Linked DNA regions of Lonchura striata. Each later gene encodes a partner of the first gene's protein in a complex. Links are inferred from orthologs where the notes say so. Each region holds a gene or a part of one and is shown in the gene's direction. Other genes may lie near its edges. The genes, in order: NPR3 and NPPC.

Evidence for each region.
Region 2: the proteins of NPR3 (region 1) and NPPC are in contact, whole or in part, in a crystal structure (PDB 1JDP), measured with the Homo sapiens proteins. The link is inferred for Lonchura striata from reciprocal best matches to the Homo sapiens genes NPR3 and NPPC. Residues at the interface, in NP_001191304.1 of Homo sapiens: Asn110, Tyr138, Ala141, Pro142, Arg145, Ala161, Gly163, Phe164, His166, Glu170, Tyr171, Tyr204, Lys208, Leu209, Arg211, Tyr214, Phe215, Leu217, Glu218, His221, Glu222, Gln225, Ile233; in NP_077720.1 of Homo sapiens: Gly109, Cys110, Phe111, Gly112, Leu113, Lys114, Leu115, Asp116, Arg117, Ile118, Gly119, Ser120, Met121, Ser122, Gly123, Leu124, Gly125, Cys126.

Annotation. Positions count from the first base shown.
Region 1 is NC_134642.1:38,647,119-38,656,532, forward strand, and holds the start of NPR3 (atrial natriuretic peptide receptor 3), read left to right. Parts: upstream 1-5,407; coding exon 5,408-6,107; intron 6,108-9,414. UniProt on the Homo sapiens protein: Receptor for the natriuretic peptide hormones, binding with similar affinities atrial natriuretic peptide NPPA/ANP, brain natriuretic peptide NPPB/BNP, and C-type natriuretic peptide NPPC/CNP.
Region 2 is NC_134612.1:18,240,778-18,250,491, reverse strand, and holds NPPC (C-type natriuretic peptide), read left to right. Parts: upstream 1-5,620; 5' UTR 5,621-5,649; coding exon 5,650-5,742; exon of another isoform or gene 5,743-5,841; intron 5,842-7,170; coding exon 7,171-7,497; 3' UTR 7,498-7,510; intron 7,511-8,883; 3' UTR 8,884-9,329; downstream 9,330-9,714.

The DNA of each region.
Region 1 (9,414 bases):
TGCACATAAAGAATATATCACTTTCCAGAGGTCTCTGTTATCAGTGTACAAATAGAAGCAAAACTTCCAAAAGGCTTTTATCTCTTTGTGCACAGCATGAGGATACCTCCATTTCCTCCTGCTCTGTTTCTGGCAGAAGTGATCATTGCTGAGTTCCTGCCTTTTACCAGGAACTAGAACTTGTCAAGCACTGTTCGCTTTATTTTTTGAGCCCTTATCCATCTCGGTATAATTAAATTATATTACCTAGTGTGTGAAATGGCCAGTTTGCCATTAATTGTAAAGTCTCCTTTTTAAATTTGCTTTGTTGCATCTCTTTTCTTGACTGTTGACATTCCTCTCTGCTCTGTACTTTGTCTTCCTCCACCAACTCATCTGTTCTTGGTTGGAGCTTTTGTCCTCACTCAGTAATCTCATTTGTTCCTATTCCTGTGATGTGATGACATATGAAAACTGTCTCTTCTGCCAAGTCCATATATTAATTTTTTTAAACCACATTAGTGCTTTAATAAACTGGAAGTTACAGAACTCATGAAGTACAAGTTTATTTAACAGAATTTATTTTAATTTAATTAAATATTTAAAATATTTTTGTATCAGCTCAGTGGAATAAGATTTGTCAATAGTATTAAAAATGTTTTTTCCATGCATTCCCTGTAATTTAATAATTAATTAACATGCAAGAGAAAATACATACAGAGATCTCAGCACTAGTTTTCACTAAGGAGTTCCTGTCTCTCATCTCTGGCATCTTGCTGTTGTTTCAGATCTTTTGCTCTGCTGTGCCAACACAACCACATCAATGAGCTGATTTAGTTAAAAAAATATTCCACATTTTGCCTCAGAATACTTCTAAAGATCAATCAGTTTCTGGGACAATATTACTGCGTAAACTGACACATCCTGCAGAGCTGAGTATCCAGACAAAGCATAGATGTCTGGTTTCTTTACACTGTGAGACTTCTATTCCTCTTTTATGGGAATACACGTGAAAGAATATTTTGGAATAGTTCCTGACTTGAGATTGCACATGACAGCAGTGCAGCTTCTTGGTTGTCCATGCTATGGGATGTCTGATCCCAACTCTCTTTTTGAGGCACAGTGATAGTATTCCTAACTATTTTTTTACAAGCAATATGGGTATGTATTGTAGGGTTACTAGATCTCAAGAAGAAAAGATCTTTGCTCTCCAAAGCCCTTAAAATCCTCTGGACAGAAATGCCATTATATTGGTAAAGTACGGGTGGTGTTTGCATTTCACCAATCACTCTTTATTTCACACTATGATACAACTGTTTGACGGAGGCAGATGCACATGAGGAACAAGGTGGCCACCATCCTGTGCACTCCAGTGACCATCCAGTCACTGACCTATCTAAGATATGGAAATGAAAACAAAAATGAAAATCACAGGAACAACTTGGATCCAAAGCAATTTAGTTTAGTTAGATCCTCCTAATTTAGTTTAGTTAGCAAAAAATGTCTGTTCTGTACCCTGACATTATTATATCCAGCTGTGTCTAAATACAGAAATCGGTTGCCAAACAAAGAGAATATTTTCTAACATAGTCCCATCAGAAGAGGAAAGTGAGTTTAGCAGAGAGTCAGTATGACTCAAGGTAATGTATAAGGTTATACTGTTAAAAAGAATGCACTAGTTGCATTTTTAATATTTCTATCCTTACTACAAATACTTGTAAAATAGGTAGTGTAGGTGTACTTTTTTAAACTGAAAATAATTGCAAAACCATCTTTCTTAGAAATAAAAGTTATCTGGAAGGTTGTGATGTCAACTTCTCACTATTATGTTCTTTCACACCCTTCAGTGGAAACACAATTGTGCTGTAAAACATTAATGCAACTAGTCTTTGCTGTGTACAAAGCTGCATTTTTTCCCATGTTGCAAGTTGTTTGGAGTGGCAGGCTGCAGAAAAGAAGTATTGTTTCTCCTTAAACATTCATGACAAGAAGTTTAATCTTTATGGAACAAAAAAGAGTGAGGGCCAGTCTTTTTCACCTTATCATCTCATTAATAATATAAAAATGACATCTACCTGCCTGCCTTTACTTTCTGCTGTGAAGTGGAAGCTGTTCAGATAGCAACAGCAGCAAAGTGTTATTATTATGTATGTGTGTATATATATATATATATATATATATATATATATATATATATGTATACATGTACTTCAATTTTTGTGCGCACTTTTGTGACCTTGGGTTCTTGTATCTCCAGAGAAGTTGGTGTAACTTACAAGGGGGAAAAAATCACATTTCCATCTATTTTTCTAGCATCAGATTGGCTCATCTTGGGTTTTCATGCTGTAGTATTTTCACCTCAAAACCATGCTGATTTTTATACATAACAGAAGTATATGAAGGTAAGGTCACAGAACACAAAAAGAGACACAAGATGCATCATGATACATTTAGAAATCTTTTCGGTATATTCCAAAGGAGTACAGATTCCTTAAAATAAGAAGATAATTCAAGATTGCTTGAAAAACAGGGGAAGAGTTTGCAAGTCTGAATAATCTAGGCAGGGTATATTTGCACAGGCGTTTCATCTTTTCAGCCTGTAGGTGGGACTGTGTTTTCAGCAAACCCATCTGTGAAAAAAAAAATCTGAATTGGCATCAGGCAGCTCAGGCTGTTGCTAATGCTGGCTGGAGTGAGTCAAGTGATTCTTGACTTGTATTTGAGTTATTTCTGGGGAGAAAATGGCCTGTGTCCGAAATTACTTTAGTCCTTAATGGGCTATTCTGAAATATCTGTTCTCACTGCAGTCAGTGGGCATTCTGCCTGCTACAGATCTGCAACTGCAGATTTGTTCCTATTAAAAAGCATTTATGTAGCTGAAAAAAAAAGTCTGTGGAGAAATGTTGAATTTATAGCTATGGAAAATACTGTAAGTGAACTGATGATGGTGTAGTAAGTGACATTTTGAATTGGGATTAACAAGTAAATTCTCATGCATAACTTCTTGGCTCAGAAAAAATAAGTCCATCACAGGCTGGGCTTCTTTTTTACAAAAACACTTAGGGTAAAAGGGAAGAGAAATGTTTATAGCACTCTAGGCCCACAGAGACACTGACTCCCATAACAGTGAATGCAGTTACTCAGGTGAGTAAGAACCACATACTATGGGCCAAATGTTATTATGAAAACACTGAAATTGGACTCTGACGCTACTACTGCTACACAGTACTGGCTAGATGCCTTGTGTTTCTTGTTTTGCCTCATGCTGGCCCTATTTCTCCCACTCTTATTCATTCCCAACAGTACTTTACCTCACAAGGAGCAACCCGTGTAAAGGGGCAGCAGCCCTGTCATTTATGGGGTTACTATCTCTTCTGTTGTGTTTACACAGCTTACGTTGAAATAAGACAGCTAGGAGAGTATAGAGCTCACATGTAAAATATATTCTGCTGAAGGAAGAAGGAAATCATGAGAGATCCTACCAGATTTTGGTGCTGTAAACACATGTGTTGGGTCACCATAAAGTAATCACTACAAAGGTCAGCATTTCAAAATGTGTCTTAAGAAAATGTTTTTGCTAGCTTTGTGGTAAAGATGGCTGGTGTGTTGTATATTGTAACATTCTGCTTAATCTCCTCTATGTTATACAGAGTCATTTCCAACAAAAAATGCCTGACATAACTTACAGCACAGGAACACACAAAACCAGCTTCACCAGGGTGGCTGTTTATGTAATCTTCAAGAACACTCTGAAGTTTGATTCAGTAATCAAATAAAACTATGAGAGGCATATTTCTGAGACACTACCCATCTTTAAATTTCTGAGCTTCTTTATTTTTCCGAACCTTGTTAGATAAATGTTGATGATTATTTCTGTACATCATGTTATCTGCTGTTTTCATTCCACTTCTTGGTTGTAATTGCACAAGTGCTTTGAGCTTTCTTTTTTTTTAATTGAGGCATCTTAAAGGTGAGCAGATGGTCACCACAGGAGTGCAGGTTTCCCATTCACAGCCTGCACAGCAAAGGCAAAAACAAAAGTTAAGTTTACACATACTGCCCTGACAACGACCTCTGTGCTGAACTAAACAAACCCCTTCTGTAAAGCCAGGAGCATTTCTCTCCCCTTTCGAACACAAACCTGGCACTCTCTAGAAACCATAAAAAATCAAACTGGGCAGCCCTGCGCTGGCTTTCAGGATGTGTGCTGCTGCAGGACACAAAATGCTCCAGGGTGCCATCCTTTAGGAGTTGCAGTCAAAAAGCATCAGGTGTTCCAAAGCCTCTTTCACAAAACAAACATCTTGCATATTTCACATCACTTTATGCCAGAAAAGGCTAACAAAATCTGAAGCATAGCAGTTTAAGGCCAGTGAGTAGAATTGAACGGGGATGATCTTAAGTCTAGGAAATGTTGTCGCAGTAGTTCCAAAGGTTCTTTTTTTCCCCAGTAAAATAATCTCAGACCTCTCCTTCACTGGGGTTAACCTCTGTTGCTTGGGGTGTGACACTGTGTCTCTCAAGGTAGTGGGAAATGACAAAGCCCGGCATCCAGACCTTCTTGTCACGGGGGACTCAGAAAGATTCCAAAGGGATACAGGTAGGGGCCACAGATCCACTGTCAGCTTCCCCGCAGGCTTATGCTGTGCATGGGCACCTTTCCGGGTTGAGGAGACGGGAGCAGGACGGCCCTGCTTGTGCTCTGCCACAGCGCCCGCCCGGCTGCTGCCTGCATCCCCTGGTGCTGATGCTGCAAGCCCTCCTTCCCGAAATCCCACAGCCCTGCCGAGCACTGAATCCCTGAGCCCTCGGGGTGCCTCAAAAGCCTTTCTTATGCAGCAGAGGACAGCTTAAGCAGGCTGGAACAACCCACAAAAAGTATTTAAGGAAAAAATGGAAGTGCAATTGCTCGCACGGGCCCGATTGCGGGGACTCGCTTGGCAAGGGAGGGCAGCAGCCGAGCGGGAAGGTAGGCGAAACACACACATCAGTGTTCGATGTACGCGATAAGGACACCTCCCGCGGGCCCGCGGAGGTGTGCGGGGCGGGGGGGCCGCAGGGAGGGGGCGGGCGGGAGGGAGAGGGCCGGCTCCTCCCTGCGCACAAACCCGGCCGCGCCGGGCCGGGCGTGCGGAGACGCCGCCGCCGCTCCCGCGCTACTTAAGCGGGGAGGGCGCAGCCCGGCAGCCCCGCGGGGGGATCCGGCGTGGGGGGGAAAGTGATCATAGTAGTAGTCGTTCATCTATAAGAGAACGAGAAAAGCAGAGCCGAGATGCTCCGTCCGTCCGCCAGCGGGGTGGGGAGGGGCAGGTTGTGAATCCGCCAAACACCTGAGAAATAAAGCACGACCGAACAATTTCGAGGCGGGCGGGGAAGGGGGGGACGAAAAGTTTGCCGGAGCTCGGGCGTCTCCGGGGGGGCGGGCGCGATGCCGCCCTGGCTGCTCGGCAGCCTCTGCTGCGTGCTGGCGGCGCGGGCGGCGCTGGGCAGCGGCCCCGCGGGCGAGGAGGAGGAGGAGAAGCTGATACGGGTGCTGGTGCTGCTACCGCAGGACGACGCCTACCTCTTCTCGCTGGGGCGGGTGCGGCCGGCCATCGAGTACGCGGTGCGGAGCCTGCGGGAGAGCGGCGCGGGTCTGCCGCCCGGCTACGCCTTCCAGCTCACCTACGAGGACTCGGCGTGCGGCAACCGCGCCCTGTTCAGCCTGGTGGACATGGTGGCCCTGCAGCGCCGCCGCCCCGACCTGCTGCTGGGGCCCGTGTGCGAGTACGCGGCGGCGCCGGTGGCGCGGCTGGCCGCGCACTGGGACGTGCCGATGCTGTCGGCGGGCGCGCTGGCCGCCGGCTTCGGCGCCAAGGGCGGCGAGTACTCGCACCTCACCCGCGTCGCGCCCGCCTACGCCAAGATGGGAGAGATGCTGCTGGCCCTTTTCCGCCACCACCAGTGGAACCGGGCCACGCTCCTCTACAGCGACAGCAACCCCGAGCGCAGCTGCTACTTCGCCATGGAGGGCGTCCATGTGGTCTTCCAGGAGGAGGCTTTCCACATGGCCGTGCACAGCTTCGACGAGACCAGCCGGCACCTCGACATCGACGACGTCGTCCGCGCCCTCCAGACGGGAGAGAGGGGTGAGTGGCGGCGGAGTGCCGGGCAGGGCTCCTCTGTGGCGGCCGGGGCGGTGGGAATCCCGCGGAGGGAAGGACCTGCGGACGGGGAAGAGTCACGGCTCGTCCCCGCCCGTGGGGAAACTCACTGCAGTGCTGCGACGGCAGCCCCGGGCCAGGCATACTCCGACGGATGGGAACAGCAGCCCTGAGTGAAAGCTCTGCCCACAGAGCTAGAGTTTGCCTCCCCACGGTGTAGAGAGCGGTTTGCCCTCGGGGACCACCTTTGGAGGGCTTTGTGGCATGGTAAGAAAACATCTTGCTGCTGGCAGTCTGGTTTACCCAAATTATCCACGTCTGCAGGGCAGCAAATCTGTTGCTTACTCTCTGAGATTTTTGCAGTGATACTATATAAGTTCAGGGACTAAACAAAGATGTTTTCCTCTCACCCCACTGTGCCTTGCAGCGGGAGATCTTTTCATGACTTCTGCCACTGGGAACCTCGTCGAGTAACTCAAATAACAGATTCATTTAGGGGAAATGGCAATTTCAGGGGATGTGTGCACGTGAAACACCTGAGTGCATGCCATGATATTGTCACCAAGTGATAGGAAGACACTGTGGAGATAAATGGCTTGTAAACATCTGAGACAGTCATGTCTGGGCTGGATGAACTGACTTTGCATCATGGAACAGCAAAGCAAAGTGCTTTGGAACATGCAGTTTTGTAGTTAGATGTTCTTTAAAGTGAGATCTTGCCTAGCAGTGTGTGGCTATATGAGCTTATCAGAAACACTTTTTCTGTTTGAGGGTTTTGCATGACTTACTGCAGAAGCCATAGGCTTCCTCAGTAAGTCATGCAAAAAGAAAATACGTAATCCAGAAGTGAACTGTAGGGTGAAGTTAAAGTTCTTAGGTATTTTCCAAGAAAGCCATGGATGTACAAAGCTCTTTGTACAATTCTTACATATCTTGTTGTAGAGTATTAAAATAGCACCAGAATTGGACAGATAAATATTATGCTGTGTGTGGCAGGCAGAACTGGTATTGTGGTGCTGTAGGCTGTGGATGGAGCAGCCTTGCACTGCTGATGTTACACTGCTGTGAAATAATTAACATGCCGGACTGTGTGAGATAACTGAGGTCTGACAGCATAGGGCTTTTAATTCCCTATTCACTGAAGTACATGCTTTAAATAGAGCTTTCCTTTTAAGTATCATTTGGGGAAATATAATGGATGGAGAGAAATAAATGTGTTAGTACTGGAGGAAACCACAGTGCGGGGAAAGATGCTTGTCAAATGTGTGTGTGGCTTTCCTGATGCTGAGAGCATTACAGCATGCTTACATCAGGAAAAGACAAGTGTTCACCCCAGCCCCACTCTTCACACCATGCTGACAGTCAGGGAGGAGAGCTTGCTTTCAGCCTGATCTGAATTGCTTTGTTGAGCTGAGACATTTGATCTTTCACAATTCTTCAACTTGCAACTGACTGAACAGAAGCAGCCCTCTTCTTTCTCCCCATTGTGGGGTCCCTCCTTCCATCTCACCTCTGTATTTGTTCTCTGACTCCTGCCACTCAAGTGGGGCCCTCCACCTTCCACTTGTGCCTTTTTGACTTTAAAGACTGACTGCAGGACTCACCTGGCAGATTCCTTTGGCCCTGCTGCTCATGGCATGTTTCAGGTTACCACAATATTTTAAGAGTTCTACACCACGTGGAGGGTGCACCAGATGAGGTCTGAAGATCAGTAGAAGTCTTTATTTGTTCTCAGGACTCACTGGAGATCCCCCCAGCAGGACAGCAGGACTTGTGGGCAGCAGCACACTGTCCAGAGCACTTTCTAGAAATATTTTTGCTTGGTTGGTTTCCAGTTTTTAATGAGTCCTGTGTCACACCTGCTGTGACCTCACTTTCTCTAGCTTTCAAAAACTGCTGCCGTTTGGTTCCCACCTGACTGGTCAGCCTTCACTGAGCTCCCTGACTAGGAGTAGGCTTTTGAGCAGATACAGGATTCTTCCTTGAGACTCTCCCAGAGCTGGGAAGAAACTGCCCCACCAGCTGTCCTGTGGGAAGCAGGACAGAGGTTGGCCCCAGAGGTTAGGTTGCTGCTGGCTGGGGGTTTTCACTGGCCTCTCTGATGCCTGAGAGGAAGAGGCACACTCAGCCATTCACCCCTGTGTGCCAGGGACTGCGAGTTCAGTCCCTGAGCCATGTGAAATGGCTGAAGTCTTGGAGCCACAAAAATTAATGATGAAAATGTGATCATTAAAATCAAGTACTTGTCTACAATTAGTTTTATTAGTAGTTCAGGCTTCCTTATAGGCTCAGGTAAGCCTGCTGCAGAGTCCATGTTGAAGGCTCAGGTTTACTGTACGGTTCATATATGTGGGCCTATGCTTTATGTATAAGCACACAGTCCAAGGGATGTGTGTAGCAAAGGGAATGCTTATTCCTTTAAACTGGAATGAAACTCCAAAGTGTTTTCAGGATGAATCAATAATCCTAGTCAATAAATTCAGCATGTTAGTATTAGAATTACTGTGTTCTGTGTGTATTATGGCGGAGAGAGAACATTTTGTATGGGTGTGCACATACACATTTGGTACAATGGTAAGGTACAGATGCAGATTAAATATATAATTTATATTTTTTTTGAAAGATTGTGAGAAACATATCCATAGATTATTTGCTTCAGAATCTTGAAATATGTCCTGCTGGGTTAGAAACCTCTTCCAAACAGTTAATATTACTTCTCTTACATTCCTTTAGAGGCTTACACAATACGATTTAATGTATGTTAAAGTAGTTCCCCACACACTCTTTTTCTTTTATTCCTTTTGCTCAATGTCTTTTATTGGTGTTGTGGGAATCCCTTTGATTCCATCTATGGATTACACTTTTATGATAGAAGTGCATTACAAAGGCAGAGTCAAGGAAGAATTGGGAGGGCAGAGAGGAAATATTTCAAAAGGAAATCTCTCACCTATACTGAAATTAAGAACAGTGAGACAAATTAATTCCTGATGTGCATCTGGAAAATATTTGGTCCAAATTTTATTGTAAGAAATTTTTTTTCTTGTTCATTTTCCTTCATGATAATATACTTCACAATGGTCATGAAATATGTCTTGCTCTGTTGCACTGGAAATTATTATATTACTCTGCCATAATCTGTAGGACAGAGCTATGCATGGTATAATTCTCCTGAAGTGTGGGGCTGTACTGAATATGACTCACCCCAGTGGCACATCTGGAGGTTTATGCCTGTGATGGCATCCAACCAGAAAGGCGATGGGAGAAGATTCATTGTGTGCGAAAAGATTTGGCC
Region 2 (9,714 bases), on another chromosome or scaffold:
TCCCTCCTAAAAAGAATAAAAAGAGGCAAAAAGCCCAAACTTGGCTTTAGTGGGATCACTCTGGGATCATTTTCATTTAGGAGGTCAAAGGCTTGACCACCAGCACTGCCAAGACCAACGCATTTGGCTTTCTGCCTCCCAACACTCTCCTGGGGTTTCCCACATCCAGGGGCTCCCAGGTGACACTCAGGAAGCCCAGAAGTTTTTTCCTGAAGAACTGATGCCGAAGGGACTTCCCACCACCTGCAGTGGGTTCCCAGGAAGCCAGTTCAGAGGAGCTGGAGGGTGTTTGTATCTGGCAGGGGGGCTGCAAGGGAGCTGCTGCTGATGGCTTTTTCGAGGGTGACAGGGGTTTGCACAGCCAAACCAGGTGGAAGAGGCTCCTGCCAAGCCAGGACATGCTGCTGACAGAGCCGTGGGGCTAGTGAGGACCTGCTCACCTGGCCTGGTTGTGCACGAGCACAGGAGGGCACAGACATCCATCCCCCGAGGCACTGGTGGCATCTGGCTCCACCGCTGTGATGGAGATTCCCTGGATACAGGCTGGGGGTCCCCAAAAGCCTGTTGGATCTCTTCTCAGGATCTGCACATGGCATGGCTCCCTGCAGGGATGAATGTGATATTAATAGCTCATCCTTTTGCCTTTCTGGGCCATCACACCTTTGGGCAGTTCCTATTCCCAAAGGGATGCTCAGTGCCAAAATCAACAAGCCTGGGATGATGTTGGGACCCCAAAGCTGTGGGTGAAACACTGCCAGACCCCCATTTTATGGGGAAGACATCTGAAAAAAAGAGAACAAAGATGACTGTGGCATTTAGCTTGGAAAATCCCAACAACCTGTCCCTACATCAGCTGCAGACCTGAGGCTGCCAGGAGCTGGAAGCAGTGCAATTCATATCCTCTGAGGACTGATGCAGAGGGAGGCTCGTGGTGTGGAGTCACCCGTGCGTTAGAATTGCTTCATTTTATTGACATTCAACAAAACCCTGAGACATTGTGTTCCTGCTCCCACCAGAGCAGTGAGGCATCCGAGCTCCAGAGCACAGATATCCCCTTGTAGCCTTGGAAAAAATATCCAGAATGTCAGGAGAAGACTGTAGTATCCTAGGAAGCCCAGGAAAAAATGGCAGATCCCAAAAGGCAAAGCCCTGGGGGAAAAACACACTGTGCCTGTCAGAATATCAGCACTTCACTAGCAAAGACCTGTGAGTCTCTGTTTGGGGCTTGTCCTCTTCTCCTCAGCTTTGCCACTCTGGGAGGTTTTGGGAGGGGACAGAGAAACCGTCTTGGTCTTTAAACTTAAGGCTTTTGCAGCACATGCAGCCCCATTCTTGCCTGCCCCATCAGGGCAGCTCTGTTGGCTGTCTCCCCATCACCATCCCAGTTTGAGGAGAGGGGGTATTGGCCATGCCTGTATCCTCAGGCAGAGCCCTCTTCCCGACCCAAAGGAGACAGGGGAAAGTGCAAAATCCTGTAGTGTTTCCTGCAATGTCTCATTCAACAGCAGCAGCATCCAAAACAAACACCAGGAATGTTCAAACAGGCCAAAATCTCCATCAGGGGTTCAGAGAGCACCCCAGGAGCATCACACCCCAGTGTATGGAGCTCCCCCATCCCTGTGACCACCTGGTGGCTACTGGGGCTGTGGACTTGTAATGGCCAGGTCTGAGCTGCTGGGCAGTGTTCTTGCCTCAGGGGCTACAGAGTTATTCCCCAGAAAACCTTTCTTTAAAGCATCCTCAGGAGGAACATCATCACAGAGGTGGGACCAGATAGTCCCCTGCATGCACCAGAGGCTGCTCATCCATCCCAATAATCAAAATTGAAATCTCTCTTCAAACTGCTTCTCACTGAGTTGGCTATCATCAGACCCCTAGAGAGGTACTCTAAAATCTGTAAAAAGAAGAAAACCAACTGTTAAAAACTCTTATTTCAGCACATCAAACTCTTGGTGACATTCTCTTGTTGAACACATCATATTCCTGAGGACTGGTAGTTGGTGGCTGTGCTGGGGGTCAAGTAGCTCCCTTATCTTAACAGCTGCTCCATCTTTGTACCTTCTCTGTCCCACCATCTGGGATGGTTCTTAACCAAAAACAACTTGGGTTGGCCACTGGTTGTGGGAAAGCATCAGCCCCTCTGCATCACCATCACATGCACTCTGCCTTCTGATGTCTCTTTTTGCAAAGGGATGATTGGCTTTCACATGGCATCAGCTGAAAATCCTCACCCTAGGGTTATCCATCTCTTGGTCAGGAAATGCTCTCCTGGCAGAAGGTAGCAGAAGAGACATAAATCTGGCCAGTGATTTCCCAAATCAATAAGAAACATGTTCCCTAAGGATAACTGAGTTGAAGAGAAAGGAGATGAATCACTGGCTGTTCACTGCTACAGTAGCAGCTTACTTCCGACTTGAGTCCACATTTCTATCCTGTGAACCTTCTTGACATCATCCTCTAGAAGGTGCCTGGAACCTGGCTCCTAATTTCAGCCAGGAGAGCCAGGGCCCCACTGCTGCCCAGCTGGATGCATCCTCAGTGCTGGCATCACTCACCCCTTCCTTGTGATGGGGCCAGAACACTCCATGCTGCTGTCACACAGATCCCCATGACCCATCTCCTCCCACTCTCCAAATCATGCTGGCACTGGTCACATTTTGATGAATCCCTCTCCATCCTCAGACAGGGGACATGGGTGCCCTCTCACACATACAACACAGTCTCTGCTCCCTTCCCTATTCCCTACATACCAGAAGTCCCCATACTCAGGGCTCATCCCACTTTGCTAAGATTCAGCAGCATCTCCACAGCAGCCCATTCCCCATAATTCAGGTTCGACGCTGGTATTTCTCAGGGACAGGCCAGCCCTGGTGCCCCTCTCTCCTCTTGGCTCTTTTTGCGCCCCTGGGTGAAATGGGGAGGGGTGTCACCCTCTCCAGCCCACCCCACAGGTCTCCATCCCTCCTCGTGCAGCTGTTTAGGATCCTCTTTGCTCTCCAGTGCCTGGGGAAGACCCCTGTGAGCCCAGCCTTATGTCTCCACTTCTCATTTTCCACGCATGCCCTGAATTCTCATCCTGGGTGATCATCCCACAGGGCTGCGCACTAATGAAGGTCCATCCCTTTAAGGGTTAAAAGCTTTCAGGCCCCCACCCCACCAAGCAAAAGGGTTTCACATTCTTAACCCCTTCCTACACACTCCTGCTCCAGCTCTGAGCTTTTGCCATCCCAGCGGATCCGATCTGGTTTGAGTTAAGTCTTTGTGTGCGCCCGGCTCTGACTTCGGCAGAGTAATTTGAATAACAAGGCTAATTGGATTTATAAAACACAGCCCCTCCTCTCCCCCCCCCAAACCCGAGGCTCTGCACAGTGTGACAAAGAAAACACACTAATGAAAACCACGCTAGAGAGCCGAGGGCCGGGAAGAGCCTCCTGCGGGCAGGCACTGGCTGAGACCTGAGCGCCTTGTGGCGTTTGTGGCGATGCTCGAATCCTCCGGGGCGAGGGGCTGCTGGAGCAGCTCTGGCACCGACCCCGTGAACTGCAGCCTGCGAGGGGGCTGGTGGCAAACGAGGCGGCCCTTCCTGCCCACACTGTGACATTTCTCCGCAGCCATCTGCCTCGTCTCTGTCCCCGTCCCGGGTGCACCGGGAGAAGCCAAGGGACAGGCTGCCCAGAGCACCAGGGCAGGAGCCAGTGCAAGCAGAACGGTGATGGCAGGATTCTGTGGGGGTTGCTGAGCTGCTGGTGGCCTCGGGCACCCCGAGATCCCCGCAGAGATGTCATCTCTCATCCTGTGGAGACCCAGGGCTCAGCTGCTGCTCCCCTTTTCCCTGCAGAAGCCTGCTGATGGGGGCAGTGGTGCAGAGCGCCCCATTCCTTGCACCCTGGTGAGGCTGGCTGCCACATTCCAGCTCCACTTCGTGTGGGACAAGGACTAAACCCCGAGAGAAGGGGCCTCTCTCTGCTCCTTGCCTGCACCCACGGCTCTCTGGCACCCGGGGTCGGCTCTAATCCCGACTCCATCACTTCACTCTGCCTGCACGCAGACAAATGCCCAAGCACAGCTTCACACTCAAAAAAGTCCAAGTTGTCTCCACCTGGCAGGCGCAATGGAAAAAACACAGAGACCTTCTCCTTCCAGCTCCCGTTCACATGGAGCTGAAGAGCCAATCTCGTTTGAAGTGTCCCGTGCCCAGTAGCCGGGCTGTGGAGGAGGAAACATCTCCCTGCTCCTGAGCAGGGGTACTACGGCCCCCCAAAGAGCCATGGTCCCACAGCAGGGGCAGCTTCCCAGAGATTTGTGGAGCAGCAGAGCCAAGAAAGACCAGGATACAAAGCAGGAGGAAAGGACCAGACTGAAACAGACTCCAGGGACAGGGGAAAGGGCAGAGAATGTTTCCCTGGTCTCAGGGAAGGGATTTGGGGTACAAATCCAGCTTAATGCAATTCAGCCGTGGATGCTCCTGCAAAGAAAGGGGTGTCTTTCCTCTGCCCTCATGCCAAGAAGAGAATTTTCCCTGGACAGGGGGCCGGAGATGGTGCTCAGCTCCATCAGCAAAAAGCCAGCAGAGCTCCAGAGCTGCCCAGTGCCAGCCCCAGCAGCAGCAGAGACACAAATCCTGCTCTGCCAGCCAGGAAAGGGGAAGGCTGAGAGCAAGGGGCCTCCTCAAAGGCCCTGTGAACTCCTGGGGTTAATCCCAGGATCACACCTTTCTCCTGTAACCTCTAGCTCTGGGAGCAGGTCAGAGGGAGGCCAGGCTGCACAGCCCTGACATGGGTCAGCCAGTGAGGTCCTGTCCCCACAAGGGACCCTGTGACACTAACTATACCCTGCATCCCCAGGGTGCTTGAAAAGCCCCATCTCCAGGGCCAGGAACACCATCAAGATCCCCCAGAAGCAGAGAGAGCAGGTCAGTCCCGGAGCCAAGAGACCCACTGAGGTGCCCTCAAGAAGCACCATTGTACCCTCCATCTCTTTGTGTCCCCCATATTCCTGTCACAGAAGGCAGTGGCCCTGCTCCTGCCAAGTAGAGACCTGGGAGGCACAGTCTGATCTAATCCTGGATGTGGGAAGAAAAAAAAAAAAAAAAAAAAAAAAAAAAGGTGCTTATTCCTGTTTTTTGGGATGAATCCCGCACCGGGACCACCCCCCCCCGCCCGGCCCGTGTTCTGCCGCGGGAGGTCAGCAGGGCAGTGCGGGGAGCAGAGGGGCGGTGGGGCAGCCGGCAAGGGGAGGGCAGACAGCTTGCAGGGGGGCCGGGGGCGTCTGGGGGAGGGCGGGGGCATCAAGCCAAATGCCCCCCGCTTTCCCTTTCGGGTCTCCAGCTCCCGGAGCTGGTTGTCTTGTGTCATTTGTTACTGCCAGGGGAGAGGGGATACCACCACCCCCCCCCTTTAAATTCCTGCTATTGTGGAGTGCAGACCGGGTTGGACCTGGGTATTTAGATGACATCACCGAGCAGGTTGGGTTATAAAATGAATGAAGCAGAAAGCAGCCCAAGTTCACTAGCTCGGCACTTCGCAGGCGGCAGGAGGGACCTCGGGGCTCCGCTCTGAACTTTGACTCCCGTCGGTCCCGTCCTCTCCCCGGGGCTGCCCTCGGCTCCCCGCTGCCCCCCCCGACCCCCCTGCCGCTCGGCCCCGCAGGATGCAGATCTCACCCTTGCTGGCTGGTGGACTTTTACTCGCGCTGCTCTCCCTCAGGCTGGAGGCGAAGCCGGCGTCTCAGCTCCCACAGAAGGTACGGCTGGAGCTTTCTCCGGCTCTTCCTCCTCTCCCGGTCCCGCTCAGAGTCCTAACGGCACAGGGGGAAACGTGGGGTGCCTGTGGGGTGCCAGAGTCAGTGCAAAGAGGGGTTCTTCTCTCCGCATGGGCTGTTTGACTGCAAGGGGGACTCCCTGCTTCTCCAGGCTGTCCCGAACGTCCGGGGACGTCGCCCCATACCAGAGGCTGAGTGGGACGCGGTGTGCCCCGCAGCCCGCGGGATCGGGGCAGGGGAGGCGGCAGTGTGCCCCCGGAGTCACTCTGGAGACCCCTCTGTGCCGGGCACGGGGGAGGGAGCAGAGCCGGAGCGGGGCAGGCAGCAGGTGCACGGTGGGACAGGGTGCGAGAGCAGAGCCCGCCGGGCAGTCCTGACCAAACAGGCCGGGCAGGGGCACAGAGGTGGGTGTCCCTTCCCCGCGTGTCCCATGAGGAAGGGGCGCCCCAAATGAGAGTGTCCCAGGGATTTGGTTTTCTCGAGATGCTGAGGACGAGGGATGTGCCCGAGGCACCCAGTACTACTGTACTGGGTGGTACTGCCCTGAGGTCTGGCACAGAGATGGAGACACGGTCTGACGAGTGCCCCAGGGCAGCAGTGGGATGGGAGTGGCAGTGTCCCTGTAAGGCACTGGGGTGCAGGCTGAAGAAAAAGTGTTGATACAGGGGGATGTTGGGAAAATGAATGAGGATTAACATTTCCATGGCTTGGTGGGCAGCAGCTCTGAGCAGGGAGAGAGATGGAAGGCCTGGGAGATGGGGGAGCAGTGTGGAGGAGGTGTGTCCCTCTTATTGTAGGTTAGAATTGGAGGATTGGGAGGACACAGAGAGCATTAACTAGGGGAGGGAGCAGCAGGGAGGAGGAACCCTGATCTCCCCACCACTGCTGGGGACAGTCTGCAGTGGTGCACAGGATCTGTGGGGCAGGACCCCTCCCCATAATCTGAAGAGGTCTGTAAACTGGTGTAAACTGATGAGGGATGCAATGACCGAGGGGGTCTGAAATGAAAGGACCTGCCGGCTTTCAGGTCCCTTCAGATAATGGGTTGGGGGAGGACGGGATGGAATGGGACGACAGGATAGTGACAGAAGCGCAGCTGAGGTGTGCAGCACCACCAGCCCTTTGGAGGGGTGGTGTGGATATGCAATGACCGGGACAGGAAGACACCGCTACGGTGTGGGTCAGGGGGATGCTCTGACCCCAGGGAAGGGAGCACAGATTTAGGGAGGGGAGAAAATGCTCTGGCCACAGCCAGAGCGGGGTGATGGACTGCACTGCCGGGCACAGACCCAATCGCGAGTTTGCATCGCAGGGGGGATACACCGACCCCTCTGCGCGTCCCTTACAGGGGGTCCCCAACTCTCATGGGGATCGCTGGGGACGGCAGCTCTGACCCTCTCCCCCCCACAGGCCTCCCGCGGGTCAGCGGCGGCAGCGGCGGCGGCGGCGGCGGCAGCGGGTCCGCCCGAGGCGGCGGAGCGGGAGAAGGAGCGGGAGAAGGAGCGGGAGAAGGAGCGGGAGAAGGAGCGGGAGAAGGAGCGGAGCGGCGGCGGCGGCTCGGGCCCGCGGGAGGCGCGGGAGGCGCGGGCCGAAGCGCGGTCGCGGGCGGGCTGGGCGCGGCTGCTGCAGGACCCGCCGGGCCGCCGCCACAAGGGCCTCCACAAGAAGGGCCTGGGCAAGGGCTGCTTCGGGCTCAAGCTGGATCGCATCGGCGCCATGAGCGGCCTCGGATGCTGAGGGACCCCTGGCGGTGAGTGCGCGGCCGGGCCGGGCCGGGGCCGGGATGGGCCGGGGGCCGCGCTCCGGTACCGCGGGGCGTGCGGAAGATGCGCTGCCCTGCGAACGCGAGATGCCAGCGCACGGGACTGCAGGTGTTCGTCCCGCTGAGCCTCGCAACCTCTGGCTTTGCTGGCAGGTAAAGAGGAGGACCCCAAAGCTGGCCTTATTACATTCCCGTCCGGAATCCACCGGCCCTCTCTCTGCCTTACCCTGCAGAAGGGTCAGAGACCTCAGCTGCTTCTGCAGCAGTTCAATCTGGATTCCCCCTAATTTGAGCTAGATCCCTGGGCTCCGGGGAGGATGCAGGAGGAGCTCTGGTGCAGCCACAGGTTTCTAGTTGCCCTCTCTGCTTGAAACACTTAGGTGAGCTATGGATAGGTGTTAGGAGGGCAGGGTACCCCCTGTGTGCCTGCAGTTGGAGAGTTTAGTGAGGCTCCTGTCTCAGCCATGCTCCAGTGCTTTTAAGGACAAACAACACATAAGTTCCTCAGGTGTCTTCTAGGTGTGGTGACAGCCATGAGTAGCACTTTCCTAACTGCAGTTTTGTATCTGAGAAAGTTATGGGAAGCTGGGAGAAGTTCCTCCCACAGTGCTTCACAGCCACTGTGCAGCAACCAATGCGTGAAGGAGTGGCTTCCCCAGAGTGATGGGTTGGGAAAAACATGGCAGTGCCTCCCCTGCCAGGTCTCCCTGCGGGTGCTGGGGACAGTGAGGTATGGTTCTGGCCTGGCCCTGCCAGCAGGACACACACAGATGAACTCACACTTCGGGAAGCACTTACCACTGCAGCCCAGGCCACTTGCTCTTCTTCCCATGGTCCAGCCCTGCAGTAGCATAACTGGGCACAGCAGGGACTGGATCCAGCATCCTGCTGCTCTGCAGAGCAATGGGAATAGCACAACCCAAAGGTGCCTACAGGATGCCAGTGCTGGTCTATGGCCTGTCCTGGAGGGATGGGTGCTGTTTCTCTCCTCCCTCATTTAGAAACTCTTCAGTATTGCCAAGTATTGCTAGCTCAGGGCTCCCAAGGAACACACAGACCCCATGTAGGCAGGTCACACCCATCCTCTCTCACTAAACCCATCAGAACAAGGAAAAAAAAAACTCTAACACAAGGGCAGGAGGAGCAGCAGCTTCCCTCAGCCTCTCCCCTGAACGCCAGCCAGAAAGCAAAGGGTGCACTTCCTTTCTTTAGCACAAGCAAAAAGCTCAGGGATGGCTTCTGCTGAGTCCAGCATCCCCCAGCCCCAGGCCATGGATACTTGGGCAGGAGTTTTGGCTGGGGATGGGTAAGGGGTGCTGCATGGCAAATACTAATGGGCACTTTGTTCTTGTTCCTCACAGGGCTTTGAGTCCGTAGTCCACTTTTTCCTACCACGCACGGCCAGGCACATCCCCAGGCAACACCTAGAGAAGCAGAGACCCCCTTGGAATGGACAAAAGATGTGGTTGTGTTTTTCTTTTTGGTACGAGGAATTATGGCACCAACTGTTTTGGTTTTGTTATTTTTTTAACAAGTGCTCTCTATCTTATATATATTATATATACAAACACTCAGCGAGACAAGGGACAGTGCTTTTCCAAGAGACTGATGAAGCCAGCTGTATAACATTGCTGTTTGTAAATTCATGTCATGCATAAATGTATTTATGTTGTAAAGCTATTTATATATTGTTTATAAAGAGATATTTATAAAAAATTATTTATGTAACTAAATGAAAAGTCAAGCATTGTAACATTTTTTGTCCTAAGTAGTTGAAAAACTTTAAAAAAAATCATTCCGTGTGGCATTTTGTAATCTGTCTTTATTTATCAAATTCACATACAATTTAAATGTCAGATTGATTGATTTTAGCAGAGCTCAAGAAGAAATTGTTCAGATGTTTTAGAAAAGTCAGGAGTGAGAGAAAGGCCAGCTGATATTTTAAGCTTTGATCCCATATGCAAAAGTAAACTTGTGCCCAATCCTGTGATGCTCTGATGGACTGAATCCTGCCTGGCGCTGCAAGACTCTGCAGACCCCAGCTGAGCTCCCTGCGAGAGCACACAGCCTTGGGCAGCACATCTATGCCCAGATCCCAAATGGCACCCGTGGAAATGAGCCCACCATGGTTAACAGCCGAGCCCTGGATCGACTGCAGCGTGACAAGGGCAGCATCTGTCCTAGTGTGCTTT